Arabidopsis thaliana: one gene and its partners. The protein of the gene in region 1 interacts with the protein of each later gene in a biochemical or structural test. Each region holds a gene or a part of one and is shown in the gene's direction. Other genes may lie near its edges.

Region 1 (7,332 bases):
CAATTTCAGCTATAAAATATTCTGCCGGATATGTATAAATTATCGTAAGTACTTTCTGCAACAGGTATGTTTCAGCAATATTTTGTCAATCAGGTCCAGAAAATACGCTTGCAGGTAACATTTACTCTAACAAGACGGATCCTGCTCATTTTATCTCTTTTGTAAACCGTATAGAAATAGGTTGATATTCTCTAGTGTAGTTGTAATCATTTCATCTGAAAGAACCTTCCATTGCAGGGTTATTACAGTTTCAGTCAGAAACTGAAACATGTAGTTCGTCTGCCATTTGCAATCATGGCCTATGGTAATCTTTAATGCTACTTTCCTAGTCATAAATTGTTACATATATACCTTTCTTGTGCTCAATAAAGTGACTCCGTGTTGTTCTAGGGACTGCATCTATGCTACTTTTCATGGAGTGGAGACCATATGTCAGTGTTCTACCCATTTTTACTGTGCAAAGGTCTGCAGCCTTCTTTTTATACATTAACTGCTTTTACACTCTTATGAGTTTTTCTTTTCCAGTTGATCACATTTTCTGTTTTCTTTCTTTTGTCTTTGACAATAAAGAATGGTAGGAAGATTCTGACTCAAGCCTTTAACTTGTCTCGCTAAGAAAATTATTGCACATCACATAGTGTCATAGTGAAACGTCTAAGTTAATGAGAATCTGTTTTCATTTACTCAGGTTGAGAAATTTGACTTAACTTATTTACCAATATCTTAGCTAAAATTGAATGCATATAAGAAGTTTAATATTGATGCCATTGACTAGAAATAGGATTTTGAACTGGACAATGTCTTGCGTATTTTTATTTTAGAACAACTGGGTGAAGTAAGTTTAGTTTTGGCGTGGTCGAAAAAGCTTACGAGTATATTTATTTTGCAGGTTCATCATGTCTGTTGAAGCAATTTCTGCTGCTTCTTTTATGATTGTATTTGTTGGTAAGAATAAGGTCCATATAATCATATTCATACTATCAGGCATGCATTGAGCTTCATTTTAGTATCTCAAATAGAGCAGTATAGTGCCAAATCGATTCGCTTTCCATTTGCGAGATATATGAAATACACCAGGTTCAGCTGTTACGTCGTGATGGTTTTTCTTCATCTTAAATTTTTCATGCCATGATTGCCAAGTGTCAGATTTATAATCAGTTTTCATTTCTTATGGTGTACTAACTGAAACCATTCCATTGCATATTTGCATCTGGGATCTATCGCGATCATATGCATGCTAAATCACTATCAAAATTGTCTACATCTGCGGCCATACATTTGTGTTTACATTTATCATGTATACAGTTCTTACAATTGGCTATAGTTTGTGGTTGAGTATCAGGAGATCATTTAAGAATTTGTGTTCTGGGTTTCAGTTTGAAAACTCTTTGTTCTTGATGCAGAAATTTCCATACCGTGTCTTCAAAAAACGATTGGCTAGAGCATATTGTGTTCTTTTGGCATCTTTTTTTCCTTACAATATTTCTGTTGTTTGTCTTTAGTAAGAGATTCTGTTGCTAGGTTATTATGCAGCTGTTCTTATCTGTATTTTAATACTGGTAGGTTATGTTCGCCAGTATAACTCAGTGAATTCTCAGCCCGATGTCTTAAATTCATTATATTCTCCTCTTCAACCAGCTGCTTTGGAAGGATTGAGGTACTTTCACAATCTCACTGAAACCTTATTCCTAGTCTTCATGAAAACTTTGCTTTACCTCGCAACCTTATATTGCAAATGGCAAATGTTTTTACAATTCTCAAGTCTTACTTCGTTTTTTTTGCTTGAAACACAGATACCATGAAGCCGGTCGCCTTTCTGATCAACAAATGGCTCTACTGCAATATCAACGCGAGAATCTCCATTATCTCAGTGAAGAGGTGACAATCCATGGAATATTTATCATGAGTACTTCATTTCTGAATCTTGATGCTTGTGATGTTTCTTACTAGTAATTCTAAGTTCAATGCTCTCTCTAGCTCTTCATTGTCTACCCTAATTTTCTGAATTTTCCCATGCTTTCGTTAGAGTGAGTCTCTGACCTCTCTTGTTTTGTTTCAGATTCTGCGTTTGCAGGAGTCCTTAAGTAAATATGAAACGAATGGTAGTAGCACGCCTCAGGTTTGAACTGCTCCATTCTGAATTTTTGACTTCTTTTTATCAGCGTGTACACATTCTAACAACATTCTTAATAAATTTTCTTAAAAGTAATGTATAACTTTTTCCTTCCACTGGGATTTTAATTTTTGCATTTGATAAATGTTAAACTTTCAGGTTGATCTGGCGCATCTTGTGGCAACTCGAGATCAGGAATTACGAACACTATCTGCTGAGGTAAAGCTCGGTTAACAAATGATAAACTTGCAAATTCCCATGGTTAATTTTTCTTTCTCATCTCTCTTTTACCCATTTGGTGGAAAACATATCATAGTTGATTGACATTTCAAGGCTAGTATCCTTGATGTAGCATCTTTAAATGAAAATTGTGTGTCTTGCAGGTGGATCAACTCCATTCAGAGCTTAATCTCGCTCGATCTCTGATCTCTGAGAGAGATAGAGAGATACAACACGTCCGGAATACCAATAATCAGGTTCGAGTCTATCTATAAACATAAGAACATATGAGAACAAAACATACTTTCACAGCATCACATCATGTTTATCATCAACACAGCTTTACCATGAATTGTTTTTGCATCAAACAATTTGCAAGGGCTACACATTTTTTCTGATCCCTGAACTCATCATCTTTTGTTTTTGAAACTCCTGAAACAGTATGTAGCAGAAAATGAAAGGTTAAGAGCTATTCTTGGAGAATGGAGTATGCGAGCTGCAAAGGTACAATCTTCTCTTCTCTCTCTCTCTCTTCATTGTATGTTTTAGAGATGCAGCAATATGATAGTGAAAAATCTTAAGCCAATATCGAGTTTATCGAATTCAAACCCTTTTGTTTACTATGAGAGGCTAAACCAAAACCAACGGATTGTGTAGCTTGAACGAGCTCTGGAGGTGGAGAGAATATCAAATATTGAACTGCGGAAGAAAGTTTCAGCTCTCAGAGACCAGAGGCAGGTGGCATGAAGCATATACATCATCTAACTATATGCAACTCTTATGGCTTGTAGAAAAATATCTTGACACTATTTTCTAACATCTTGATGCATTGAATACGCTAAGCTTTTATGATGTAATGATTTTCCAGTTAATTTGAACTAAGCGTATGTAATGATTAGTTAATTAGTCATATAGTTATTGTAAATCTTCTGGGAATAGTTAGAAAAAAATATATATATATGTTTTTTTTATTATATAAAATAGATATTTTCCGTAATCTTTTTGCTTAAAAATATTTAATTTATCAATTAAATAAATAAAAATCGTTGGGATAATAAAGGAAAAATTAAAATATTTATGTAAATCGTAGGATGAGTAAGATTAAAAAAAGGAAACCTTAAACCGAATTATGGAAATTTACGGGAATCTAATTCCGACGAAAGCCCACTATACAGGCAAAGCCCAAAGCTGCTTTATATATCTCTCTTCTTCTTCCTCTACAATCTCTCTCTACAACAAAATCAGCGACAGCTCAAACGTTGATATTTTTCTCCGGCTTTTCTAGGGTTTAAATTTTCTTTCCGATCAGAGATTAATGGCGACTCTAGACTCCGACGTTACCATGATTCCTGCCGGAGAAGCCTCCAGCAGCGTAGCCGCGTCGTCTTCCAACAAGAAAGCTAAGCGATTCGAAATTAAGAAGTGGAGCGCCGTTGCTCTCTGGGCTTGGGGTAACCTCGAAAATCCTTATACACTATCTTCAATTGGTCTTTCGATGTTTCGATGTTTGTGTTACGATGTTAATTTTTGGTTAGGTTAAGAGTTTTATTGATTGATTGATCTTTGTTTTGGTTGCAGATATCGTTGTTGACAACTGTGCGATCTGCAGAAACCACATCATGGATCTTTGTAAGTCTTAAAACAATCGATTGATTTTGGAATTTGTAACGATGATGTTGAATGTTTATGCTTATTTCGTTTTTGTGTTTTGGTTTGTTGTTAGGTATCGAGTGTCAGGCTAATCAGGCCAGTGCCACAAGTGAAGAGTGCACTGTAGCTTGGGGTAAGCATTTTTCTTCTTCTATGATCATGATCTCAATCGTTGCTTTTTGTTTGGAAACTTGATTTGGTTTATAATTGTAGCTATCGTAATTGTGAATCTAGAAACACAAAACTGTATGCGAAAGTGTTGTGTGAAACAATTTTAGTATCTCTGAGTGCGTGTTTTAAAACTTGACATTGAATTTTACTTATGTGGTAGTATCACTCTGATAGATGTCTTTGCTTTATTTGAGAGCAGACCCTGTTCCTTGTTTTGCAGCAATCTAGATTGGTCGATGAGTAGTACAGTTGATTAGATTTATGGAGTTTTAAAGATTTTCTGAGAGAGAGAGAGACCAAATTGTAGTTATTGTGTTTACATGCTTTCATAGTCTTGCAGTTGATTGTACGATTGATGATGAATTAAAAACTCAGAGGACGACCAAAATAACTGCAATAAGTATTTCTGTATTCTTGATTGCTCAATGAAAGATGACCACTTGGAGGGTGAATCTTGTTAGCTAGGAAGTATTAGAGAAAGTAGGAAGTATTCCTTTAAGATGTATGTGATTGTGTGATGACCTTTTCGAATCTTTTTTCTATAATGTGACAACTCAAGTGGATATACATAAATTATTTAGTGCCTTCCCTAACGAAAGATACTCAATATGTACTTGCAGGGGTTTGCAATCACGCCTTCCACTTTCACTGCATCAGCAGATGGCTAAAGACTCGTCAAGTTTGTCCATTGGGTATGTGTTTCTTGGTTTTAAGCTTCTTGACTAGTATGCAGTTTTTGTTTGTTTGCTAATATTGCTGAGTTGTTTCAACAGATAACAGTGAGTGGGAGTTTCAGAAATATGGTCACTAAATCAACAAATGGTTCCAGCAAGCATGTGTCTAATCGTGAAGACATCAGGTTCATTTGGTTACCACCGCATATGATAACTAAAGATTGTTCAAGTTTTTGCCCTTTTTTTGGTACTGTATTTTACAATTTGTGGAAACAGAGATTTACTGTTCAGTGTTCACTAAACCTATTATGGTTGTGCTTTGGGTGACGTCTTTGATTTCAAAATTAAAAAGTAAAAATCCTGCAAAGAGTTTTTTACTCGTAAAAAAACATAGGAGCTGGGTACCAAACGCTCTTTTGATCCTCAATTGTGTTTTCCTTCAATTTAGTAGTTCCAAATACTAAAGTGAAATTTCTAATAAGGCTAACTCGAAACCCACTTAGATTATAAACCATAAGTTTTATTAAATGGGTCTTTCAACCCCTAAACAAACAATACTAGAGCATTATTTTGACAACACAGATTCTTAAGAGAAACAGTAAAAACTGACCACTTGAACACAACATCGAGGATCAGAAGAGCGTGTACATGGGCGTCGTCTCAGTAAGGATCGTATAACCCAAAATGCTGATAGATTCCAACTGGCTTCTGGTTCTCATTGTACGTCTCAAATATATACGCATCAATTCTACTATTTGGCCTCTTAGGCGTTCCTTTACCACTTGCAACATGCTTCACAAAGTTACCAATGTACGTATATTGAAGAGCCGGTGTCGTCATGCCTCCATTCCCGGCAGAGGGCCACCCGGTCTCCGACACCACCAAAGGTAAACCTTTCACTCCCTCTTTCTCCATTGCCCACAGAAAAGCGTCGAAAATTGCATCAAACAAGTTGGAATATTTTAGTGCACCGTCTTTGACCACGATCTGGTCGTTATTGAAATTGGCGTACTCGAGAGGGACGTTCTTTGGGTCGGAGGCATGGAAGTAGTAAGGATAGATATTGACGAAGATCGGTGTACTTGTTTGAGACAACAATCTCAGCACGGGGACAAGCTGTTGACGTGCTTGGGGTGTTAAAACTCCTGCAGAAGGCGGTTTCAACCTGGCGAGGCTCGTCGTAGTGACCGTGGTGCTGATTGATATCTGGAGATTTCTTGACTTGACGAGGTCGGTGAGAGATTGAATGACAGGAAGCACGTGAGGGCCATGTTTGTCGCCCGGGATGGCTTGGTTTCCGACGGTAATGAATGTTATGTTCACGTCGGCTATGTAAGGATCAATGTTAGTGGAGAACCAGGATTTAACTGCGTCTTTGTTGGCTGCAAGTGCCTCCAAGTCTTCGTTCTTGATGCCTACGGTGACTCCAATATCTCGGTTTCCACGCAAAGCGTTTAGGACGTCTTTGTTTGGCTCGAATATCCTGATTTTCGCAACGTTTTGAGATTTGTAGAACTTGATAACATTGGACGGAGATGGGAGGTTGTCTCCGAGGAGTCCGTAATTCAATCCGACGACTGATGCAGTACTTAAAGAATCAACGTTGTAGTAGCTGATAATCAACGCTGTGCATGAGAAAAGTAATAGGAACAAGTTCTTAGAATAGTCCTCCATGATATAACTTGTCTCTGCAAAATCAATAGCGCCAGAAAAGTTGTTGTATTAGAATATTAGATATATACAATGAGTGTATCTACAGACGTATAACATTTACATACAAGAAACTCAAACACCACCACATGATCATATATACTTGCCTGAAGAACCGAGACGAAAAGAACCAAACTTGTTTTCTTTTTGTTTTGTTTCGTGTAAGCTTGCAAGTTTGAGTTTATATATGTCTGAGATACTGTTCCCTGTTTAATGAGTGTGAGATAGACCTTATACATGTCTAAGATCTGTTTCCTATAAAAAAAAAAATATGATATGTTTCCTAATTATTTTATTTTATTTTGTTTATCTCTGCAAGTTTGAGTTTATTTTATTCTATTTTGTTTATCTCTTATGAGATTAGACCTTATACTTGTCAAATTATTTACAAATTTGGTTTTGTCTTATTAACAGTTTTAATTTCACATACAACACACACAATATGAATTGAACCCACCGGATGGGTAATACCACGACAACTCGACAAGACGACACTTTGCTAATGAATGTTGCTAACTCACTTTAGCGAAAACAAATTCAAATCCATTGCTAATTAATATGTTCTGTTGCTGAATCGAAGAGTTTGTTGGTTTTCAAAAAAATTGCGGTATGGCAATTCGATATCTGGAGTTTAAACAGGAAAATCCTAATGAATGTTGCTAACTCGCTGTTTATATTCTCATGTTAATTAAGACCAAAGATATAAATGCAAAAATAGTGTTCTGATTGGTTGATCTTTGTTTTGGTTGCAGCCTTGCATGTATATCATTTGATACCTCGATAAAAAATTAAAAA
Region 2 (6,716 bases), on another chromosome or scaffold:
GTAACTTGATTTTTTTTTTGAGTTGAATCAAAAAGATTGAATTTTTTATTGTTTGATTTGAATCGATGCTAAAGTTTGGATTTTTTTTTTTGTCTCTGTAGTGATGATGACTCGAAGCTGGTGGACAAAATTGCTAACGAGATATCAAACAAGAAGACGATTTATGCAACAATAAACAATGGGAAGAATCTAGTTGGGATTGATACACACATGAAGGAACTAAACCGATTAATGCATATGAATTGCAACAAAGTTACTGTAAGAATGGTTGGGATTTGGGCAAGAGGAGGCGATGGTAGATCAGCTCTAGCTAAATATGTTTATCAGACATCTTGTCAACAGTTTGACAGCCATTGTTTTCTTGGAAACGTGAAAACGATTTCTCAGGGTCGCCACTCAGCGCATCTACACGACGAGTTTCTGAGAAATATTAAAAGAGAAGACTCTAACAAACAATGTCTTAAGAATCAAAAGGTTCTGCTTGTGGCAGACAACGTTACTAAGGTTAAACAGTTAGAAGCTCTTGCAGGGGATTTCAGCAGTTTTGGTCCTGGGAGTGTTGTTATTATCACTACAGACAACAAGGGGTTGTTGAATTCTTATGGTATAACAGATGTCTACGAAGTTGAGCATTTGAAGTTTTGTGGAATCTTACGATCATTGGGCTTTAAAAAGAGAGCTGCTGCGTTCCAGCGGGCTTTGTGTAGAGCAAAGAGTTTTGCCACGGAATGTTTTTGTTGTCAAAGTAGTAGTATATCTGGTTATGGGAAAGTGACAGATTTAGTTTAATTAAGTTGAATCCCTTATTAGTCATATGCATTAAGTTAAGTAAACTTAATAAGTTGTGTGGCTTAGAAATAATATTGTTTTGTCTATTTTTGGAGTGGGTTGCTCTTGGGGTGTAGAAAAATGTCACTCTTCATTGGATTAAGTAATATACATTTTTTTGTTCCTTAGTTTTTAAGACATTTTTTTACATCTGGATGTGCCAGTTGTTTGTAATATACTGTTCTTTCCTTATAGAAATAAATATTACACAATTTTTTAAAAAAGATTTATGTATTTGGGAGGGTTTTTTGATGTTTGGACATGCCCAATAAAATTAAAAATTAATACAGGAGACACAAAGTCGCTAACTTTCCAAAGTTGGAATCTACATATGTCTAAAACAGAGAAGAAAAGCTTTTAAACTTTTTACATGACGATCCTCCAATAATAGTAATACACTACTACAGTTCAAAGCCACTGACAAGTTTCTCGCTTTTTTCCCTTAATGAGAAACTCTTTTAACCTGCTTTTCTGATTTATGCTCTTTGGGTACGTGGAAGATTTCAATCACAGACTAACGTAATTAAATCATTTATTGGAAACTGTGAGTCAAGCTGAATAAACTTGATGCAAACGAATAGATATGAAAGAAATTGGGTTGATCAACAAAAAAACAAGCCGACAAAAACTGAATCTCATGATATGTTTTCGTCCGTCAGTTTTAACCGTTCGTTTGATCGGATAATCAAAACCAGTAAATGCCAATAATACACACCAGAAAAGTAAGATGATAATTTTTGTTCGTTAGTAGTATTTTATTATTATCATGCTCATCATTTTCTTACTTTGGCGGCCCATCTTTTCTCTTCCCCTCTTTCTGAGTAGTTTAGTAAAACAGAACCTGACAGAAAAAAATAGAAAATGCCAGGAAACACACACTTAGCAGGAAGACTATGGGAGTCTCTAACCAATGCACATGCTTTATTTAGTTCAACTACTCTCTAGTGGTCTATAAATATCGTTGAGTTCTTTATTTCTATTACTCATCATAGTTCTCAATAGAGAGAATCAAAAATCAAAATGTCTTCTCCTACTGCGACTAAGTACGACGTCTTTCTGAGTTTCAGAGGACTCGACACTCGTCGCAACTTCATCAGTTTTCTCTACAAAGAACTCGTTCGAAGAAAAATTCGAACTTTCAAAGACGACAAGGAGCTCGAGAATGGCCGGAGGATTTCTCCGGAGCTCAAACGCGCCATCGAGGAGTCGAAATTCGCCGTCGTTGTGGTCTCTGTGAACTACGCTGCGTCTCCTTGGTGTCTCGATGAGCTTGTGAAGATTATGGATTTCGAAAACAAGGGTTCCATCACCGTGATGCCTATCTTCTACGGCGTGGATCCTTGTCATTTGAGGAGGCAGATCGGAGATGTCGCTGAACAGTTTAAGAAGCACGAGGCTAGAGAAGAAGATCATGAGAAAGTAGCTTCGTGGAGACGAGCATTGACCAGTTTAGCGAGTATCTCCGGCGAATGTTCATTGAAATGGTGAAATTTCGTAGCGTTGGTTAGAAAGATTGGATTTTTATTTGATATGTCTCGTTACTAAAGTTTCGATTTTTATTTTGTTTTCTCTCTGTAGGGAAGATGAAGCGAATCTGGTGGACGAAATTGCTGACAAGATATCAAAAAATCTGATGACTGTTACAACAATAAGCAATGGGAGGGACCTAGTTGGGATTGATACACACATGAAGGCTCTTAACAAAAAATTGGATTTGAATTCCAACAAAAGTTTGAGAGTGGTTGGGATTTGGGCAAGAGGATACAATGGTAGATCAGCTTTAGCTAAATATGTTTATCAAGACATCTGTCATTGGTTGAAGGTTGGTTGGTTGAAGGTTTATCAAGATATCAAGACAGCTTCCAAACTTTATGTTTTAACTCGTTGGTTGAAGGTTGCACATTTGCTTCATAGATCACATCACTCTTTTAAAACTGAGTAGCCAGCCAATCAATAACCCGAATTTCACTGAGAAATCCCCACATTTGTTATGTTTCCATACTACAAAATCATCTATTGACACCACTAGTTAGCTGTGATCTTATAAAGATGAGTAAGCCAACCAAACCAATAACCCAAATTGGAAAATGTGAGTCAAGCCGAATAAACTTGATGTAATAACCTATTCGTTCTAACTTGAAATTGTTATTAAAATCATCCTTATCAATTAGCCTTTCTCGTCCGTCAATTGACTTAGTTCTAACCATTCGTTTGATCGATAATCAAACAAACAGTTGAATCTTCTTCAACCAATTAAATTAGACTACGAGTAACTAAATGCCAATACACGAGAAAACTAGACTAAGAGGAGAATTTGTGTTCGTTAATATGTTATCCATACTCATTATCTTATTTTGGCGGCCCATCTATTCTCTTCCCTCTTTCTGAGTAGTTTAGTGAAACAGAAGCTGACAAGAAAAAATAGAAAATGCCAGGAAACACACAGTTAGCAGTAGGAAGACTCTTATAGGTCAACTTCTGTAGTGGTAGTGCCTATAAATATCCTTGAGTTTTTTATTTCTATCACTCATTGAGAATCAAAAATCAAAATGTCTTCTCATACTGCAACTAAGTATGATGTTTTCCTAAGTTTCAGAGGGCATGACACTCGCCACAACTTCATCAGTTTTCTCTACAAAGAACTGGTTCGAAGGAGCATTCGAACCTTCAAAGACGACAAAGAGCTGGAGAATGGCCAGAGGTTTTCGCCGGAGCTCAAAAGCCCCATCGAGGTGTCAAGATTCGCCGTCGTTGTTGTCTCAGAGAACTATGCTGCGTCTTCTTGGTGTCTCGATGAGCTCGTAACGATCATGGATTTCGAAAAAAAGGGTTCCATCACCGTGATGCCCATCTTCTACGGCGTGGAACCGAATCATGTGAGGTGGCAGACCGGAGTACTCGCTGAACAGTTTAAGAAACATGCGAGTAGAGAAGATCCTGAGAAAGTTCTTAAATGGAGGCAAGCATTGACCAATTTTGCGCAACTCTCCGGCGATTGTTCAGGGTGAAATTTCGTAACTTGGTGATAAAGATTGATTTTTTTTAGGGTTTGTTAAGATTTGAGTTGAATCAAAAAGATTGAATTTTTTTATTGTTTGATTTGAATCGATGCTAAAGTTTGGATTTTTTTGTTTTGTCTCTGTAGTGATGATGACTCGAAGCTGGTGGACAAAATTGCTAACGAGATATCAAACAAGAAGACGATTTATGCAACAATATGATGAGTCCAGACGAGAAGAAGAAGAAGAAAGGAGAAGGCCCATAAGGACTCGCATGCCCAATCCAAAGTATTCCCAACACTAAGTCATTTTACTTAGTCTCTGTTTTCGATTTAGTTACAATAAGCAAGGAGTCTTCCACGATTACAGTTTCCATCTTTTCCAAGTTTGTAGAAGTTGTTACTCCACGTTTGTTTCCATGTTGTTTCTAGTTGTAAGGAGGTGTACTCCAAGTATTTATATCAATGAAAAACAAAACAAAAGGTAGTCTTAACTAACAATCGTTTATCAATTCTAAGAACTAGAATTCTCTTTGGTTTTGAAGAGGGACCATTACAATAAACAATGGGAAGAATCTAGTTGGGATTGATACACACATGAAGGAACTAATCAGCTCTAGCTAAATATGTTTATCAGACATCTTGTCAACAGTTTGACAGCCATTGTTTTCTTGGAAACGTGAAAACGATTTCTCTACCAAGTGTCGTTAGCTCAATTGGTAAAGACCTTAAGCGAAAGCTTCGCTTAGGGTCGCCGGTTCGAGTGACGCTTGAGACGAAACTAATATTACATGATGTGGTTTCGGGTCTGGGTGGATTACGGGTTTCGTTCAGAACCTCCTGGATTTCAACAAAAAAAAAAAAAAAAAAAAACGATTTCTCAGGGTCGCCACTCATCTACACGACGAGTTTTGAGAAATATTAAAAGAGAAGACTCTAACAAACAATGTCTTAAGAATCAAAAGGTTCTGCTTGTGGCAGACGACGTTACTAAGGTTAAACAGTTAGAAGCTCTTGCAGATGATTTCAGCAGTTTTGGTCCTGGGAGTGTTGTTATCATCACTACAGACAACAAGGGGTTGTTGAATTCTTATGGTATAAAAGAAGTCTACGAAGTTGAGAATTTGAAGTTTTGTGGAATCTTACGATCATTGGGCTTTAAAAAGAGAGCTGCTGCGTTCCAGCGGGCTTTGTGTAGAGCAAATAGTTTTGCCACGGAATGTTTTTGTTGTCAAAGTAGTAGTATATCTGGTTATGGGAAAGTGACAGATTCAGTTAATTAAGTTTAAATTCCTTAGTCACATGCACTAAGTTAGCTAAACTTAATAAGATGTGTGGCTAGGGGTGTAAAACAAATATCACTCTTCATTAAATTAAGTAATATACACTTTTTTTTCCTTATCAAATCTGTGTTTGAGTTATAACCTAAATGTTTGTTGTGTGTCTCTTTCAAGTCTATATTTTCTTAAAAACAAAGTTTGTATAATTTCTTGGGATTCCCATGACCATTTGTTCTTTGAATACCCGAATTCTCAAAGGCAGTTTGGTTGTCAAATAAAGATTACACAATTTATAAAAAAAGATTTGTGTATTTGGGAGGGTTTTTGATGTTTGGACATGCCCAATAAAATTAAAAATTAATACAGGAGACACAAAGTCGCAAACTTTCCAAAGTTGGAATCTACATATGTCTAAAACAGAGAAGAAAAGCTTTTAAACTTTTTACATGATGATCCTCCAATAATAGTAATAGTGTAATGGTACTATACTACTACAGTTCAAAGCCACTGATTTATGCTTTTTGGGTACGTGGAAGATTTCAATCACAGACAAACGTAATTAAATCATTTATTGGAAAATGTGAGTCAAGCTGAATAAACTTGATGCACACGAATAGATATGAAAGAAATTGGGTTGATCAACAAAAAAACAAGCCGACAAAAACTGAATCTTATGATCTTTTTTCGTCCGTCAGTTTCAACCATTCGTTTGATCGGATAATCAAAACCAGCAAATGCCAATAATACACACCAGAAAAGGTAAGATGATAATTTTTGTTCGTTAGTAGTATTTTATTATTATCATGCTCATCATTTTCTTACTTTGGCGGCCCATCTTTTCTCTTCCCCTCTTTCTGAGTAGTTTAGCAAAACAGAAGCTGACAAGAAAAAAATAGAACATGCCTGGAAATACACAATTACACCACTTTAGCAGGAAGACTATGGGAGTCTCTAATCAATGCACATGCTTTATTCAGTTCAACTACTCTCTAGTGGTCTATAAATATCCTTGAGTCCTTTATTTCTATTACTCATCATACTTAAGTTCTCAATAGAGAGAATCAAAAATCAAAATGACTTCTCCTACTGCGACTAAGTATGATGTCTTTCTGAGTTTCAGAGGAGTCGACACTCGTCGCAACTTCATCAGTTTTCTCTACAAAGAATTCGTTCGAAGGAAAATTCGAACTTTCAAAGACGACAAGGAGCTTGAGAATGGCCGGAGGATTTCTCCGGAGCTCAAACGCGCCATCGAGGAGTCGAAATTCGCCGTCGTTGTTGTCTCTGTAAACTACGCTGCGTCTCCTTGGTGTCTCGATGAGCTTGTGAAGATTATGGATTTCGAAAACAAGGGTTCCATCACCGTGATGCCTATCTTCTACGGTGTGGATCCGTGTCATTTGAGGAGGCAGATCGGAGATGTCGCTGAACAGTTTAAGAAGCACGAGGCTAGAGAAGAAGATCATGAGAAAGTTGCTTCGTGGAGACGAGCATTGACCAGTTTGGCTAGTATCTCCGGAGATTGTTCATCCAAATGGTGAAATTTCGTAGCTTTGGTTATAAAGATTGGATTTTTATTTGATTTGAATCGTTACTAAAGTTTCGTTTTT
Region 3 (8,609 bases), on another chromosome or scaffold:
AATAACAATTGTAAACCATAAAATATAAATGTCTCAATGATACAATTTAAATTTTTATCTATAATAAATGATTATTTAATTTTAAAAATCACTATTTTTAGAATACAAATCATGGGACGAGTTAAAAAAATTATTAGACATGTTATATTTCAGAACGAGATTATGTGGCGGACAGGTTTGAATCAATATATTTATAAAATTTTATTAACATGCCGCTTTAAAACAGGTTAAATTTTCAGTAGATTAACAATTGTTTCGTGGACTCGTGGTATACCGTTATTTTATAACAGTTGTAAGCTATAAAATATAAATATTTTATTGATAGATACAATTTGCAAACTTTTATATATACTAACTATATTAAATTAATTGTCTTGCAATATACCGTAAGTTAAAATCTATTTAATAGAAATATAAAATTTAGCCTAAATGAGTAAATGTTAATGGAAGATGTCTTGGCTTAAGCATCAAAATGTATGATCTCGGTAGTTCATGTCCGATCCAACTCCCAAGCGGGATGGAAAAAAATATGCATGGCTTAAGAGTCCATCATTTTTTAAAAATATGCATGGCTTAAGAGTCCATCATTTTTTTAAAAAAGCTCATTTTTATGAGAAATATCGAAAGCAATTTTGGGAAATTGATTTGTAATACCGATAACTGGCCAAATACTTGAGTTTTAAATGTAAATTTAGTAAAGGATCCAAGAAAGTGAATTATCTGCAAGAACCAACAATAAAACTTTAGGACTTCAAAATTTTCCAGGCCGGACTTCGGCAACCACATCAGTTCCTGCTAGCATCACCTAATCAGTTTCTTATACTCATCTGAACTATACCGTCTACTACACCTCTTGAAGACAGAGAGTCTACAAAACCAAATTGAATTACAAAAATGATCTATGCATACTTAACTATAATAACGCTTTTAAGCTTGAATAACTCGATTTAGCAGAAATGAATAGTTTAATTGTCCGTTGGAGTTGCAATCGCATTGGACATCAAGTTCATCTCTTTCGCTTCTCACTATCTAATCTTTGTCAAAGTAATTAACCAGAAGCTTCAAGTCAAAGAACTTCAAGGGATTTTATACGATATCTTATCTCTATCATCTACTTTTATTTCTTCTTCTTTCAATTTCATCTCTCGCAATCAAAATCGTCAAGCGAATGCGAAAGAGATCTTACTCATGTGTGTTAACCCCTAAATTATTATTAATCGAATAAGATCTTGTCCAAAAATGTTATCTTTTTTGTTGTCCGTCGCTATTTCTGTTTAGTTCGCCAAGAATTTGTCATTGTCTTTACGGTCTTTATCATTAAATTAATTATAGTATTATAATCTTTAATTACTTAATTTTGAGCGTATAAATCTCTACTAAATGTTTATGAATATTTGATTCATTACCAATTTTAACTTGAAATCATGCTAATTTTATACTTTTAACCAAAAAAAATCATGCTAGTTTTATCAATTTCCCCTAATTTATTTGCGATTTGTTACATACATATAGAAAATAATAATACATTTTTTTTAGTGTTGTGGACCACGTCCTCTAGTTTGGTCGTCGAGTTCTGACTTTTTCATCACAAAGATAAACATCTCAAACAAAAAGCTCACACATGACCCAAGAACCCTAGAGAGAAGAAGAAGAGGAATGAGAGAATTCATCCTCGATTTTGAAGACATCGCCGAAGGATTTTGTTGGTACTTTCTTCTTCTCTTTGACTTTCTCTCTGACTCCATCATCTCAATTTCTCTCTTCTTCTTTGCTCTAATCACAGACTTCTCTTCTTTCCTCTTCTGTCTCAATTTGATTTCTTAAAAAAACAAAAAAAAAGATGGGTTTAATCAAGAACACAGTTCATTACTGTTGTGTCTCAAGAGACAATCAGATTCTTTACTCTTACAACGGTGGAGACCAAACCAACGAGAGTCTTGCTGCTCTGTGTTTAGAAAAGTCTCCTCCTTTTCATACTTGGTACTTTGAAACTATTGGTAAAAGAAGATTTGGGTTTTTAATTGGAGATGGGTTTGTTTATTTCGCCATTGTTGATGAGGTTTTGAAGAGATCTAGTGTTCTTAAGTTTCTTGAACATTTGAGAGATGAATTTAAGAAAGCTGCTAGGGAGAATTCTAGAGGAAGTTTTACTGCTATGATTGGTTCTATTAATGTTGAAGATCAGCTTGTTCCTGTTGTTACTAGACTTATAGCTTCTCTTGAACGTGTTGCTGAGAGTAGTAGTAACAATGAATTGAAGAGTAGTAATCTTGGTGAACAAAGCGAAGGTTCGAATTCTACTAAAGCTCCGTTGTTGGGGAGGTTAAGTAAGCAAGAGAAGAAGAAAGGGAAAGATCATGTGATTGAGCTTGAGGAACACAGGAAGTCTAATGATAGAGGGAACATAACCGATGATTCAGCGGGAGCTGGAACGTCGTTGGAGAAGGAGTGTGTGTCGAGTAGTGGACGTTCTGTTACTCAAAGCTTTGAATGGAAATGGCGGCGGTTAGTTCAGATTGTTCTTGCTATTGATGCAGCTATTTGCTTGACACTGTTTGGTATTTGGTTGGCTATATGTCGGGGTATCGAGTGTACACGTTCGTGATTGTGCAGACAGAAAATCGGATAAACAGAGTCGATTCTTTACATTCCCTTGTGCATTCCAATAGGCAAAAAATATGTTGATTGTAATGTGAAGCATTCTTAAGTTATAATTTGGCTTATGTATTGCTTTAGTCACAGCTTTGAAATATGTACAGTCGGATTCTAGATTCTGTTCAGTGTTCTTTGTGACTTCACGATACAGTAACGTCCATCTTTATATGATTTAAATTGTTTGAGCTTCAACTTCAAACTCAATCCTCTTTCAAGTTCCCTAAGTAAGGCCCTCACTAGCAAAGAAGCTGGCTTTGAGATGCATAAGGCTTTACCAACAAGTGTATTGATTGTATGATTCGTTCCAACAAGTGTATTGCCACTGCAGTTCTTGTTGTTACCGATCAACAAAATGGGAAGTAAAAAATGGTAGGTAGATAGGAACCGATCCGAAAAAAGTTCCGAAACCGAACTGAACAGTCACAAAATCCGAACGGATAATGAATTCACCTACCCAAATTACTTCAGCCGAATCCGATTCCGAATCAAAAACCGAATAAATATCCGCTAATCCGAAATAAAATTATATCTATCTAAAAATATTAGTTACAGGTTTATACCCAAAAATTTCTAAATAACAAAAATATTAGTTACAGGTTTATACGTCCGAATTTTTAAGTTATATTTGTTACAATTATACAATTTTTTTTGCAAAATTAAACCAATTTTATTAAAACGGAACAATATATATTTTTTTTTCTCAAAAACCGATCCGAATCCGACACTATCCGAACCGAAACCAAACCGAATAGTCATAAAACCCGACCGGATAATAAACTTTCCCATCTGAATCCGAAAATCCGAACCGAATCCGATCCAAAATCCGATCCAAAATGTGAATGTCCATACTTAAGCTCCGACTAAGCAAAGCAATACAACAAGAGAAATTGTACAAAGAGGAAGTAGTACCGATAAGTGCCAATGACCCAATTTTGCAACTATTGGGCCATTTTCAAACACCAATATCAGGCCCATTAACAGATTGAGAGAAACCAACCTCCCAAAAGAGAAAAATCAACAGAACCAAAACAAAGCCACAGTATCTCTCTCTCTCTCTCTCTCACTCACATCGTCTCCTCCATTTTCACCACTAAAACCAGACCAAAAACCTTCCTTTATTCGTGCCCTTCTGGGCCAACAAATGTTCACAAGCGGTAACGTCACCGCTCGGGTCTTCGAACGTCAGATTCGAACTCCTCCTCCCGGCGCTTCCGTCAGTCCCCAAATCTCTCTCTCTGTCTCAATCTCTCAATCTCAATCTCTCTTTTGCTTATCTCTTTACCTTCAATGATAGGTAAATCGTGCAAGACACTTCTACGAAAACCTAGTCCCAAGCTACACACTCTACGATGTCGAATCTCCCGATCACTGTTTCCGCAAATTCACAGAAGACGGACTCTTCCTCATTAGTTTCAGCCGTAACCATCAAGAACTCATAGTCTATCGTCCTTCTTGGCTCACTTACTCCACAACCGATGATTCCACAACCACCCTACCTCCTCTACCTCGCCGTGCTTCGAAATTCGACAGCTTTTTCACTCAACTCTACTCAGTCAATCTCGCTTCTTCTAACGAACTCATCTGCAAAGACTTCTTCCTCTATCACCAAACTCGTCGTTTCGGTCTTTTCGCTACTTCAACAGCTCAGATCCATGATTCATCATCTCCTTCTAATGACGCTGTTCCTGGTGTTCCTTCCATTGATAAGATTACTTTCGTACTTCTTCGATTAGATGATGGTGTTGTTCTTGATGAGAGGGTTTTTCTTCATGATTTCGTTAATCTGGCTCATAATATGGGTGTGTTTCTTTATGATGATCTTTTAGCGATTTTGTCGTTGCGTTATCAGAGGATTCATCTTCTTCAGATTAGAGATTCTGGTCATCTTGTTGATGCTCGTGCTATTGGTTACTTTTGTCGTGAAGATGATGAGCTTTTCCTCAATTCTAGCTCTCAGGTAAGCAAAGTTTTTACAGTATCTTTCTCTGGAGTAGATAAAGTTTTGAGCTTTGTGAGGTTTTTGATTGTTAGGCAATGATGAGTCAAGATAAGAGTAAACAGCAGAGTTTATCTGGGAGTAAGGAAGATGATACTGGAGAGAATGGGTTGCGTCATAGTCTAAGTCAGCCAAGTGGTTCGAATTCGTTTCTTAGTGGTGTTAAGCAACGGTTACTTTCTTTTATCTTCAGGGAGATTTGGAATGAAGAATCAGATAACGTAATGGTTCGTTGTTCTTCAACTTCTCTTATCACTTTATGAAATTGCTCTGAGTTTCACAATCTTGTACATTAAATGGGTTATGTTTGTGTACTGCTTGGCTTCCTCTGTTAGATGTTGAGTAGGATAACAGAAGTTTAAGGTTTAGGATTGATGCAGTTGACAGTGACTTCTTAGTTGATGCAGCTTATCATATACATGCTCTTTGCATTTTCGACCTTTCGTTGTAGTTTGCAATGTGTGTCGTATTGAAACACTACATCTTGGATACGAACTAATCGAAAGGCACTATTTGATTTGACAGAGAGTTCAAAGTCTTAAGAAGAAGTTTTATTTCCATTTCCAGGATTATGTCGACTTGATTATATGGAAGGTAATCAATTATGTGTTTCTGCTTTTGGAATCTGTGTCAAGTGTTTGGATTTGATGGTGAAAAAAACTAATCTTTTGTGTATTCTTGATGTCCAGGTTCAGTTTTTGGATCGACAACACCTGCTAATCAAATTTGGAAGTGTAGACGGTGGGGTAAGCTCTCTATAATACAAATTCATGGTTACATTGAACTGATACTGTCATTTTCAGAAATTACAATTTGATTGATTAGACTTATGATTGTTGATGGGTTACTCAGGTAACAAGAAGTGCTGATCATCATCCAGCTTTCTTCGCGGTGTATAATATGGAGACTACTGACATTGTAGCATTCTATCAGGTAAAATGGATGTCATTTTGGCCAGTTATTTTGTGGAATTTGCATCTACTTATAACTTGACTTAGTACATTACTATATGCAGAACTCAGCAGAAGATCTTTACCAATTATTTGAGCAGTTCAGTGATCACTTTACAGTATCAAGTAGTACACCGTTCATGAACTTTGTAACATCGCATTCTAACAACGTCTATGCCCTTGAACAACTAAAATACACGAAGAACAAATCAAACAGTTTTTCTCAGGTAAGTACATCTCTGTATTTCGATATGTTGGTTTTTATGAGAGAGTTGAATCTAATCAATTTTTCTATACAGTTTGTGAAGAAGATGTTACTCTCTTTGCCTTTCAGTTGTCAGTCACAAAGTCCCTCCCCATATTTCGACCAGTCTCTCTTCCGGTTCGATGAAAAGGTAACCATTCTATAAACCCTTATTCTCTTCAACTTCAGGATTGAGTTAAGTTAATTTCGGATATGGTTACAGTTAATATCCGCAGCAGATAGGCATAGGCAATCCTCAGACAACCCAATCAAGTTCATATCTCGAAGGCAACCGCAAACCCTGAAATTCAAGATAAAACCAGGTTGGTTGTTTTAGTTGTTTAGATATTAAGATGACGAAAACCCAAACCGCACGGAACATGATTTAACGTTAGGATTGTCTAATGGTGAACAGGACCAGAGTGTGGAACTGCAGATGGTCGAAGCAAGAAGATATGTTCATTCTTGTTCCATCCTCATTTACCACTTGCCATCTCTATTCAACAAACACTTTTCATGCCACCTTCTGTCGTCAATATCCATTTTAGGCGATGACTCTTTTTGGTTTCTATCAGTCTAGTAGTCTTCCTACATGTTGTAATCTATTGTTTGTAACAAAAGTTCAGTAAAACCTCTATAAATTCCGAGTTGGGCCGATGTAAAAATTAACAAACTTCGATAAAATAATAATATAATAATCTTTTGGAAAGCTTTATATAAAAATATGGTTTTAATGTCTTTTAAGTATTGAATCTTGTTAGAGTTTGTCTCTAACTTTTATTCTATCAAACAATTGTTTTGTCTCTAAGTCTGATTGAATTATGTTGGGGTTTTCAATTGTCAAATTATAGAATCGTTTATAACTTTGTAAAAAAATTAGCCATAATGTTTTGTAAGTTTCTAATTTCTTAGTATGCATCATTTTCAATTATAGTTTTTGTGATTTATTGTCAAATGAGCTTTTTAAATATTAAATTTTCAATTATATTACTATAAAATTTATAACATCTCATAGTTTCTAAAATTTGAAAAATTAAAACAAATATCTCTATAAATTAATAATTTAAATTTAAATTAATATATTAATTATAGATAAATTATTAATCACTATAATTAATAAAATATCATACTTCCATCTTTATTAATTTATAGAGGTTTTACTGTATCTCAAAACACATAATACATGCAAAAAGTGTTTGAATCTTAAAAAGGAAGAAATAACTAGGAGGTGTTATTGGTTCCTAACTAAAAAGAAATTTTGAAGACTTTAATAATATCATATAAAGTAAATAAATGAAAGATTCTAAACTATAAACTATTTGTAGAGAGTTTTCAATAATATTATTGATTAGTTTTTCACAAGGTTCAAAAAATCGGCCTAGGCGGCCCGATTTTAGTGAAATCGGTGAATCAAATAGGGTTTTCGGTTTAAGCGTTCAAAATCAGTATTAACCGGTCAAATCGGCCAGTTTAGTATATGTAAATATGATCGTTTTGAATAAGTGAAAAATAAAGTAAAAGTACTTGATTACTAAACTTGTAAGTTAGCAATTAATTATTCTCAAATTTTCAGAATAAGTTAATTTAGTTTTCATAGAAATTTTGTGTGAATATACATATATTATAAATTCAAATAGGTAATATTTTCAACATTTCATATATTTTAACCAATGTTTTGTTATAAAATTATGAAAATGTTTAATAAATTTGTAAAATGATGTGCTAACGCCTAGGCTTTGCCTAGCCCCCGATTAATTGATCTAGGCGTTAGGCCCCTATCGAACGCCTAACAATTTTTTGAACATTGGTTTTTTACAATCTTATAAAGTTTCCAAACAATCTCTATATTTTAATGATATTTTCATGACTTTATTTTGTGAAACAAATGGTAGAAAGTCATAAACCAATTACAAAACAATTTAATTCATCTACAATAGTAGATTCTTTTGTTTTAATTGAATAAAACAAAAAAAATTAATGACTTTATGAAAGTATTAATCCATTAACTCCAGATTTGTGAAGATTTTAGATTACTTTTCACAAATCTTAAACTAATAATACAAAACTTTAACAAATTTTTCAAAAAATCTTATTGAATAACAACATATTCTACATAACATTTTAAGTCACTAAAACTCTATTTAAATCATAAACCAATAACATACCTTTAGTATATATGTTAACAACAAAACAAAGAAATTGTAATTTTGACCGACAGTTGTAACTTACTCACAAATATATATATTTGTAGATCTCATAAGTCATAACTTTCATCTCCGAACTCTAGTTTCTTTGGATTCAAGGTATCATAAAAACCTAGTCTGTCTTTAAAGCTTATGACGAAGAGAAACATAGTAGATCTTCCCGAGGATTTGGTAATGGAGATACTCGCGAGGGTTCCGACCGTAACTTTGGTCCGATTACAATCTACATCCAAAAGATGGAACGTTCTGATCGAAGATAAGAGATTTGCTGAGCAGCACTTTACTAATGCACCAAGGCACTCTCTGCTTATCATGTTGATGACCTTTAGGGTTTATCTCGTGAGCGTCGATCTTCATACAATTCACAACAACAAGGTAAACATAATAAGTCAACTTCGCCTGAAAGATCCTCTTTCAAATTTTTTAGAAGAAGTTGATATATGCAACGTCTTTCATTGCGACGGCTTCTTGCTATGCACCACCGTAGACAATAGACTCGTTGTTTCGAATCCCTGTTCTCGTGATACTAAGTGGATCCAACCAAGAAATTTCTACAAGAA
Region 4 (7,687 bases), on another chromosome or scaffold:
GGTCTAATTAAGACATGAGACATCACATAAACCATTTTGGTACATCTAATTTTCACGTACGTTAGAATATTTTTTATAATGTGATATTCTTATTAGACGAATCTATGCACATCAGCACATGGCATATATGAATAGGAAATGAACTGAAAACATAGATTCACAAAAAAAAAAAAATGAAAGATATTATTAAGAAAGTGAGAATAAAAATCCTAAATTTTTCACGCTACCTGTACCAACACCACAAGACACGGATATTCCGAAAAGAACGGAAGCCATTACACATTGATTATACACCATAAAATTTTATTACTTATATGAGTAAAAAATTGATTTTAAATAAATAAATAAAACGGCAAGTTGTGTACGGAGCAAATGTAGCAAATCCTATGCAGAAGTCGATCGTACAACAAGATTGAGATCGAATATCGCATTGATTCCAATAAGAGAGTTGGTGAATCGATGTATATGGTTTTAGGTTGGTGGCATATTTTATTCAACTGAAGTTGCCATTTTTTGATGATTCTCGAAGATTATAGACTTAAGACTTAATTAGAAGTTATAATCATAGTCAGTTCCAAAAAAAAAAAAATATATATATATATATATATATATATCAGATTTCGAACTAACAGTAGTTTGCTATTCAATAAGTGATTTTCACGATGAAAAAGCCATAAAATAAAAATAAAAATTGTTGGTGCCAGCTAGAATAAGACTTCGAATAAGCAGAATAAAATGGTACTAAGCAGAATTAAATGGGCTTTTTGGAACTCTGTTTTTGGATTGGGCTTTTTAATTTGGGAACCAACAAATGAGATTGGCCCATTCAAGAAACATATAGTAATAATTATTAATGTATTGTATTCGCCTCGGTCCATCTTAAACTCTGTATGCTCCGTTGACTTGATTGGTTTTACGCCCCAAAACAACGCCGTACCTTTGGATAACTAATCTGAACACCAATAAGGCAAGAACTAGCGAATCTATCAGATCCAACCAGAGTTCCTGTCCTAAAACACATTGTTCATCATTACAAATACGAGCCAAAAGAACAGAGAGTTTAATACTCAAAAAGACTGAAACCAACCAGGGACTCTATTACAGACACATGAACCTCTTCATATTTCATCCATTACTATCCAAATTTTTTAGTACATGAAAACATAGAGATGATTACACCAACAAACTCTAGAGAACCTGTCCGAGATTTCTACAATTCCAATCTAATAATGATTCCCGACAAAAGGAATCGAACACAAATCAGTTCTGTCTATAGGCAATGTAATTAGCCAAAGCCAACAAAGGAGCAACCTTATCAGAATCAAACCCTAAAAGCTGATCACGAGCCTCTCTATTCAATTTCTCAGCAAACTCTCTCGATTTCTCCAAACCCATAATCTTAGGATACGTCAACTTATCAGCAATCAAATCTTTCCCAGCAGTTTTCCCTAACTCTTTCGACGATTTCGTCACATCCAAGATATCATCAACCACCTGAAACAACAAACCAATACATCTCGCAAACTTTCTTAACCTCTCAATCTCATCATCACTTCCTCCACCAACAATAGCTCCCAAAACAGCAGAAGCTTCAAGCAACGCCGCCGTTTTATGCAAATGGATAAACTCCAAATGCTCTAAACCGACGTCGTTTAAATCTAACCCTTCACTACTAATATCCACGACTTGACCCGCCACTAACCCTTCTGTTCCTATCGCTTTAGCCAATTCTCCAACGGCTCGAACCACTCTCACCGGAGAAACAACATCAGAACTCGTCGCCGAAGCTAAATGCTCGAAAGCGAAAGAGAGAAGCGCGTCTCCGGCTAAAACAGCGACGTCTTCACCAAACACTTTGTGGTTGGTCGGTTTTCCACGGCGGAGATCGTCGTTATCCATACAAGGGAGATCGTCGTGGATCAACGACATGGTGTGAATCATCTCGACGGCGCAAGCTGCTGGCATAGCGGTTGATTCTTCACCTCCGACGAGTTCACAAGCAGCGATGCAGAGAACTGGTCTAACTCTTTTGCCACCGGCGAGAAGAGAGTAACGCATCGCTTCGTGGATCTTGAGTGGCTCACGGAGAGGAACAGCTGAATCTAAAGCTTTGTTGACTAATTCGGCTTTGGTGATGATGTACGACATGAAATCGAAAGAGGATGGTTCAGATTGGCGTAGATTGTCTTCTTTTGTAACAACGGAAGAAGAAACGATTGAAGAAGATGATGAAACGGTGCGTTTTGATCGAAAGGAGATGGGTTTAGTAAGAGTTATAGGACAAGATCTGGATCTGGATTTGGTAAGGATTGAAGATGGATGATGATGATTGTGGTGGTGAACAACAATCCATGAACCTAGAGTCACTGAAGCCATGGCGATTTCTGAAATCTGAAATTTTAGATTTGAGAATTTTTTATATTAGTATTTATTTTTTTTTGTTTTTTTTGGAAAGTGGAGTCAAAATTATGAATGGAGAATTGGATTGGCCATTAGTGAGAAGCTAGGAAGTAACAGATAGGGTTGTGTTACGGAATGGGCCTTGTTAGTGGTGGAGATGACGATCTTCACTTTTATTGAAAAGCATCTTTTTTCTTTTTTCACTGTTTTTGTTTTATTGTTTTTAAGTCCATGGAAAATGTTTTTATAGCATAAAGATGATATTTTTCTGGCTTAGATTACAGATAAATTACTTGTCAGTTTTTTAGATTTTTTTCTTTTTATTTTCAATTCTATACCACAAATATATACTATTGTTGTTTTGGTAAAATATCAAAATCTTAAACACATAAATCTCATCTGTTATTTTTTTCTATACCACACATTGAATTTAGATGATTACGTAGTGATTAATGATTATCTTGTTTTGTAGATTTGTTACACGAAATTAGTAAAAATGGCATAAAAAATGCATACGGGTCACAAGTCCCACTTGTGGACATTTTACACGAGCTCGTTGATCTCTGACAACTGCTTGGTTTTAACTTATTAAAAGCGCGCAAACTACCAAATTTATTGTTGGAAGATAGATATAACTGAAATGGGCCTAACGGGCTTTAATGGGCCAAGCTGGAACTCAACAAACAGGTACGAGATTTTTGAATTATTCTGATTCAGCGTCGAGAAAAAAGCTACGATTGTGTGTTTATTATTATTGCAACCATTTCTCTGCTGTTTCTTCGTCGTTTAGCTTCAGAGGACGACAATCCGGTAGGCGAGAGAGAGAGATTAATCAATCGGCGACCTTTTTAATTCGCTCGTAATTCGTTTTGATTTTCGTGTTTTTGCAACGAATTTAACAACTTGTAAGCTTCTTCTTCTTCTTCCTTCATTCTCTTTGTTTGATTGTCTTGGTGTTTAACTTTCGATGTTTCGACCTAGTCGTTGTTTTGAGATTTCTGATTCTACTTATGTGGAAGGAAAGTCTTCGATCTTTGAACCTGTTAAAGTAGATTAGCTTGTCTTGTAATAACGCGTTTTCATTTCTGAGATTTTGGTTATAGCTTTGTTTTAGGGATCTTATGATTTGGGATTCAATTATTGTGTGAAAGTCTAATAAGCTATGTTACCAAGATTAATATAAAAGTGGGCATATGAGTTTAGTTGCAGTTGTGATTTGATATATCGAAAGGATCGATTTTTTAAGGTCTTCTTTGATCTGTCATAGAATTAATCATTCATTCTTTGATTTGTCACAGCTGTGTGTGTGGGTGTGAGTTTCTTAAGAGAAGTCAGAAACAATGATTGGGTTGTTTAAAGTAAAGGAAAAGCAAAGAGAACAAGCTCAAAATGCTACTAGAGGAGGAGCTTCTGTTAAGAAGCAATCTGCTGGCGAACTTCGTCTTCACAAAGGTATATAAATGCCTTGTTGATCTTTTTTTTGTTCTTGCATCTCCAAGTTTCAATTTTTGGTGTTTTTTCCGATTTTGAACTGTGCAGATATATCAGAGTTGAACCTTCCTAGCTCTTGTTCAATATCTTTTCCAAATGGCAAAGATGATTTGATGAACTTTGAAGTATCCATTAAACCTGATGATGGATATTACCAGTTAAGTAGTGCTTTTTTTCCCACTGAAACCTGCGTTTTTGTCTCTTAAAAACTTTTTGGAAACTTATTTGTTTCTTTCTTACCAAATAAACAGCAATGGTACGTTTGTTTTCACATTCCAAGTCTCTCCTGTGTATCCACATGAAGCTCCAAAAGTTAAATGCAAAACCAAGGTAGGCCTCTCCTCCTTTTACATGCCTTATATAGTTTACAGCTTCTACTTCAAAATCGTTTGTGTTGTAGAAACTCTTTGTTGGTTTTCTTGTTTAGGTTTATCATCCCAATATCGATTTGGAAGGAAACGTTTGCCTGAACATCTTGCGTGAAGATTGGAAACCTGTTCTTAACATTAACACAGTTATCTACGGACTCTTCCATCTGTTCACGGTAATTAACCGGACAGTTCGATCAAACAAAGGTTTTTGTGTTATTTGGTTTCTGAACTGAGTGATTGTTTTTCACACAGGAACCCAATTCTGAAGATCCCTTGAACCATGATGCTGCAGCAGTTTTGAGGGATAACCCAAAGCTCTTTGAGACCAATGTTCGCAGGGCCATGACCGGTGGATATGTCGGTCAGACCTTTTTCCCGCGTTGTATCTAACAAAGCTCTGGTTTGTCTTCTTCAAGGAAAAAGATAAGAACCAAACCCTTTGTCCGCCATTGTATTTCTTCTCTTTCTCAAGGACCCTCGTTTGTTTGTTTGATCTTGTAAAATTACATTCCGCGTTAAAGTAACCCTTTCCTTATATCGAAATCTTGTCAACTTTAAGTTCGTGAGAATTCGATAAAGGAGACTAAAAGGAATTGTATAACATGTTTGATCTTTGTCATTTCTTGGGTTCCTTATAAATCATTTGTTTAAATTTCATTCGAAATACTGTTTGAAATATAGCCTTCATAACTGGATTTTTTTTTGTTTGGTTCGGGTTTGCTAAAACAATATTCTTGTTTCAGGTTTAGATTAAAATATAAATCACATCTATCCTATTCGATTTCCATTTTGATATCTAGAAAATAATCGATTTCATTCAACGTTTGATTCATATTTTTGTACACACGTTTTGATTTATTCGGTTTTAAAAAAAGCTTCAATTCTGTTTTAAAAAGTCTTGCTATGGCCTAAGGAATAATATGAAAAAACAAATGTTTACAATCCCTAACGACTAATGCTAGATCCAAATTCCTGTCTTTAATCATTATATCAATTTAGTATTTTGATTAAAGAAAAATAATTTTAAAAGTCCGAAAAGACACAAACTCAAAATTTTAAAACTATTTTTGAAAAAACAAATGAAAACCTAGAATGATTAATAATAGAAAAAACAAGTTGAAATATTTACAATCGCTAACTACTAAGGTTGGATCCAAAATCCGGTTAGTTTTCACATAATTATGTAAATTTTGTAAAATATTATGTAAATTTAGTATCCGAAGAAATATATTTATTTTTTTTCTGAAAAAACAAAACAATAAAAAAGCTTTCACAAATTAGAAAGAAAAAAATTAATAATTTAAAAGATATTTTTAAAAAATCCGTAAAAACTGAATATTAATTCTACATAATAATGGGAAAAATAAGTTAAATGGTTGGAATCTCTAACGACTGAAACTATATCCAAAATTTGGTTAGATTTCTTATCATTATATATTTTATTTTTAAAAACAAATACAAGTTTGAAAAAATTTATAAAATTCCAAAGAAACAAAAATAAGTTAAATGGTTGGAATCTCTAACGACTGAAACTATATCCAAAATTTGGTTAGATTTCTTATCATTATATATTTTATTTTTAAAAACAAATACAAGTTTGAAAATTTTTATAAAATTCCAAAGAAACAAAAACACAATTTTACAAAACCTGAATTAAAAACTTGAATTCTAAATTTAGATAACAATAAGAAAAACAAGTTAAATGTTTGGAATCTCTAACGACTGAAGTTGTATCCAAAATTCCGTTAGATTTCTTATCATTATAAAAATTTTGAATCCAATATTTTTAAACAAATACAAGTGAAAAAACTTATAAAATTCCGAATAGAAACAAAAATACAATTTAAAAAATCTGAATTAAAAACTTGAATTCTAAATTTAGATAATAATAGGAAAAACAAGTTGAATGTTTGGAATCACTAACGACTAAAGCTGGATCCAAAATCCGGTTAGATTTCATATCATTATATAAATTTAGAATCCAAATAAATATTTTTATTTTAAAAAACAAAGCTTCTAAAAATCCGAATATAGACTAAATAAATTTTTAACAACTATGTTTAAAAATCCGATTAAAATTTTGAATGATAAATCTAAATAATAATAAGAAAAACAAGTTGAATATTTGGAATCACTAACGACCAAAGCTGGATCCAAAATCCGGTTAGATTTCTTATCATTATGTAAATTTTGAATCCAAACAAATACTTTTAAAAAAAATCAAACACAAGAGGAAAAAGCTTTTTATATCATAATAGCAAAATAAAAGTTTTAAAAATTATTTTTTAAAAATCCGAATTAAAAATTTGAATGATAAATCTACATAATAGCTGGATCCAAAATCCGGTTACATTTCCTATCATTATGTAAACTTTGAATCCAAATTTATATTTGTATATATTATTTTAAAAACAAATACAAGTGTAAAAAGCTTATAAAATCCGAATAAAAACAATATCACAATTTTAAAGCTATTAAAAATTAATAAAGGGATAGAAATTGACCTGTTTCTTAATGGGTATCTGAATGGGCTTTCTGTTGGGCTGTTTATGAGAATCCAATCCAAGACGGCAAGACCCAACGCTGTTATTGATCCTTATCTCCCGAACCAGAGCATTGAAGATCCGACGACGTCCTTTGATGTCAAAGAAAACCTCCGAAGACGAAGGAGTATGAGAGAAGATATCGAGAGACGAAGGGAGAATAAGAATCAGAAACATCATCTTCTTCCACCACGCTACGAAATTCGAAGATGAAAGAGAAGCAGGAATCGACAAAGAGAATCACTTTGTAATTTTCCCGAAAGTGATCGTGACCTCTCTCGACATGGCGTTGTTACAGTTCGGCGATGTATATGGATCATCAAATTTCACGGTCACGAGCGATCAACGATTCTATTTGTAAAACCGTCACAGAGAAAGAGAAGAACTTTTTAGGGTTTAGAAGAAGAAAAGATGAATGTTTATAAAGAGAGGTTCACGCAAAAAAAAGAAACATTAGATTATTATTTTCCATTTTTCATGATTGGACTTGTAAGAAAAAAGGAAATTGATCACGATTACGCTCCGTTTACAACGGTCTTATTTTTCTAACCGCAATTACGGTCACGTGTTCCAAGTTTATTCAAGTTTCAGGTTTAGATTCAAAATTTCAAATCATATATACATACGTTTTGATTTATTCGGTTTGATCAGAACAAAAAGCGTTTTCAGCTTTCAAATTCAGTTGGTCTCGGTTAAAAGTCCACCTTTGCTTCACATAGTGGTTTTAAAATCGTTTGTGGTATAAAAAGAATCACAACATGACTACATGAGCAAGTCTCTCAGATCATTTCAGTTTCTTTAGAGCTCGCGATTTTCGCGTTTTCTCGATCTTTCTGGAAAACAAAATGCAACGGAGTGTAACAGAGACAACAGAGCCCAAAC

Evidence for each region.
Region 2: the proteins of RBX1 (region 1) and TIR form a complex in vitro, tested with the Arabidopsis thaliana proteins (one study listed by BioGRID).
Region 3: the proteins of RBX1 (region 1) and DET1 form a complex in vitro, tested with the Arabidopsis thaliana proteins (one study listed by BioGRID).
Region 4: the proteins of RBX1 (region 1) and RCE1 form a complex in vitro, tested with the Arabidopsis thaliana proteins (one study listed by BioGRID).

Annotation. Positions count from the first base shown.
Region 1 is NC_003076.8:6,954,537-6,961,868, reverse strand, and holds RBX1 (RING-box 1), read left to right. Parts: upstream 1-3,557; 5' UTR 3,558-3,647; coding exon 3,648-3,783; coding exon of another isoform or gene 3,784-3,837; intron 3,838-3,910; coding exon 3,911-3,961; intron 3,962-4,055; coding exon 4,056-4,115; intron 4,116-4,528; coding exon 4,529-4,600; intron 4,601-4,773; coding exon 4,774-4,845; intron 4,846-4,926; coding exon 4,927-4,964; 3' UTR 4,965-5,209; downstream 5,210-7,332. Other genes in the region: AT5G20580 (TMEM192 family protein), read left to right, coding at 65-114, 238-304, 391-463, 890-945, 1,564-1,657, 1,794-1,878, 2,060-2,119, 2,273-2,332 and 3 more; AT5G20560 (Glycosyl hydrolase superfamily protein), read right to left, coding at 5,488-6,501. UniProt on the Arabidopsis thaliana protein: Component of the SCF (SKP1-CUL1-F-box protein) E3 ubiquitin ligase complex, which mediates the ubiquitination and subsequent proteasomal degradation of target proteins.
Region 2 is NC_003070.9:27,436,099-27,442,814, forward strand, and holds TIR (toll/interleukin-1 receptor-like protein), read left to right. Parts: upstream 1-3,141; 5' UTR 3,142-3,377; coding exon 3,378-3,832; coding exon of another isoform or gene 3,833-3,836; exon of another isoform or gene 3,837-3,875; intron 3,876-3,973; coding exon 3,974-4,049; 3' UTR 4,050-4,366; downstream 4,367-6,716. Other genes in the region: AT1G72910 (Toll-Interleukin-Resistance (TIR) domain-containing protein), read left to right, coding at 102-789; AT1G72920 (Toll-Interleukin-Resistance (TIR) domain family protein), read left to right, coding at 1,849-2,312, 2,407-2,770; AT1G72940 (Toll-Interleukin-Resistance (TIR) domain-containing protein), read left to right, coding at 6,180-6,643.
Region 3 is NC_003075.7:6,342,747-6,351,355, forward strand, and holds DET1 (light-mediated development protein 1 / deetiolated1 (DET1)), read left to right. Parts: upstream 1-3,664; 5' UTR 3,665-3,796; coding exon 3,797-3,868; intron 3,869-3,949; coding exon 3,950-4,612; intron 4,613-4,686; coding exon 4,687-4,878; intron 4,879-5,176; coding exon 5,177-5,245; intron 5,246-5,340; coding exon 5,341-5,397; intron 5,398-5,503; coding exon 5,504-5,584; intron 5,585-5,666; coding exon 5,667-5,828; intron 5,829-5,900; coding exon 5,901-5,996; intron 5,997-6,068; coding exon 6,069-6,168; intron 6,169-6,260; coding exon 6,261-6,400; 3' UTR 6,401-6,568; downstream 6,569-8,609. Other genes in the region: AT4G10170 (SNARE-like superfamily protein), read left to right, coding at 1,841-2,605; AT4G10190 (F-box and associated interaction domains-containing protein), read left to right, coding at 8,182-8,609. UniProt on the Arabidopsis thaliana protein: Component of light signal transduction machinery. Involved in repression of photomorphogenesis in darkness by participating in the CDD complex, a complex probably required to regulate the activity of ubiquitin conjugating enzymes (E2s).
Region 4 is NC_003075.7:17,338,202-17,345,888, reverse strand, and holds RCE1 (RUB1 conjugating enzyme 1), read left to right. Parts: upstream 1-2,853; 5' UTR 2,854-3,305; intron 3,306-3,698; 5' UTR 3,699-3,740; coding exon 3,741-3,852; intron 3,853-3,939; coding exon 3,940-4,048; intron 4,049-4,142; coding exon 4,143-4,221; intron 4,222-4,318; coding exon 4,319-4,435; intron 4,436-4,514; coding exon 4,515-4,652; 3' UTR 4,653-4,957; downstream 4,958-7,687. Other genes in the region: GGPS1 (geranylgeranyl pyrophosphate synthase 1), read right to left, coding at 1,261-2,376; AT4G36795 (uncharacterized protein), read right to left, coding at 6,728-6,733, 6,767-6,985; AT4G36791 (uncharacterized protein), read left to right, coding at 6,812-7,018; AT4G36790 (Major facilitator superfamily protein), read right to left, coding at 7,585-7,687. UniProt on the Arabidopsis thaliana protein: Accepts the ubiquitin-like protein NEDD8/RUB1 from the ECR1-AXR1 E1 complex and catalyzes its covalent attachment to other proteins.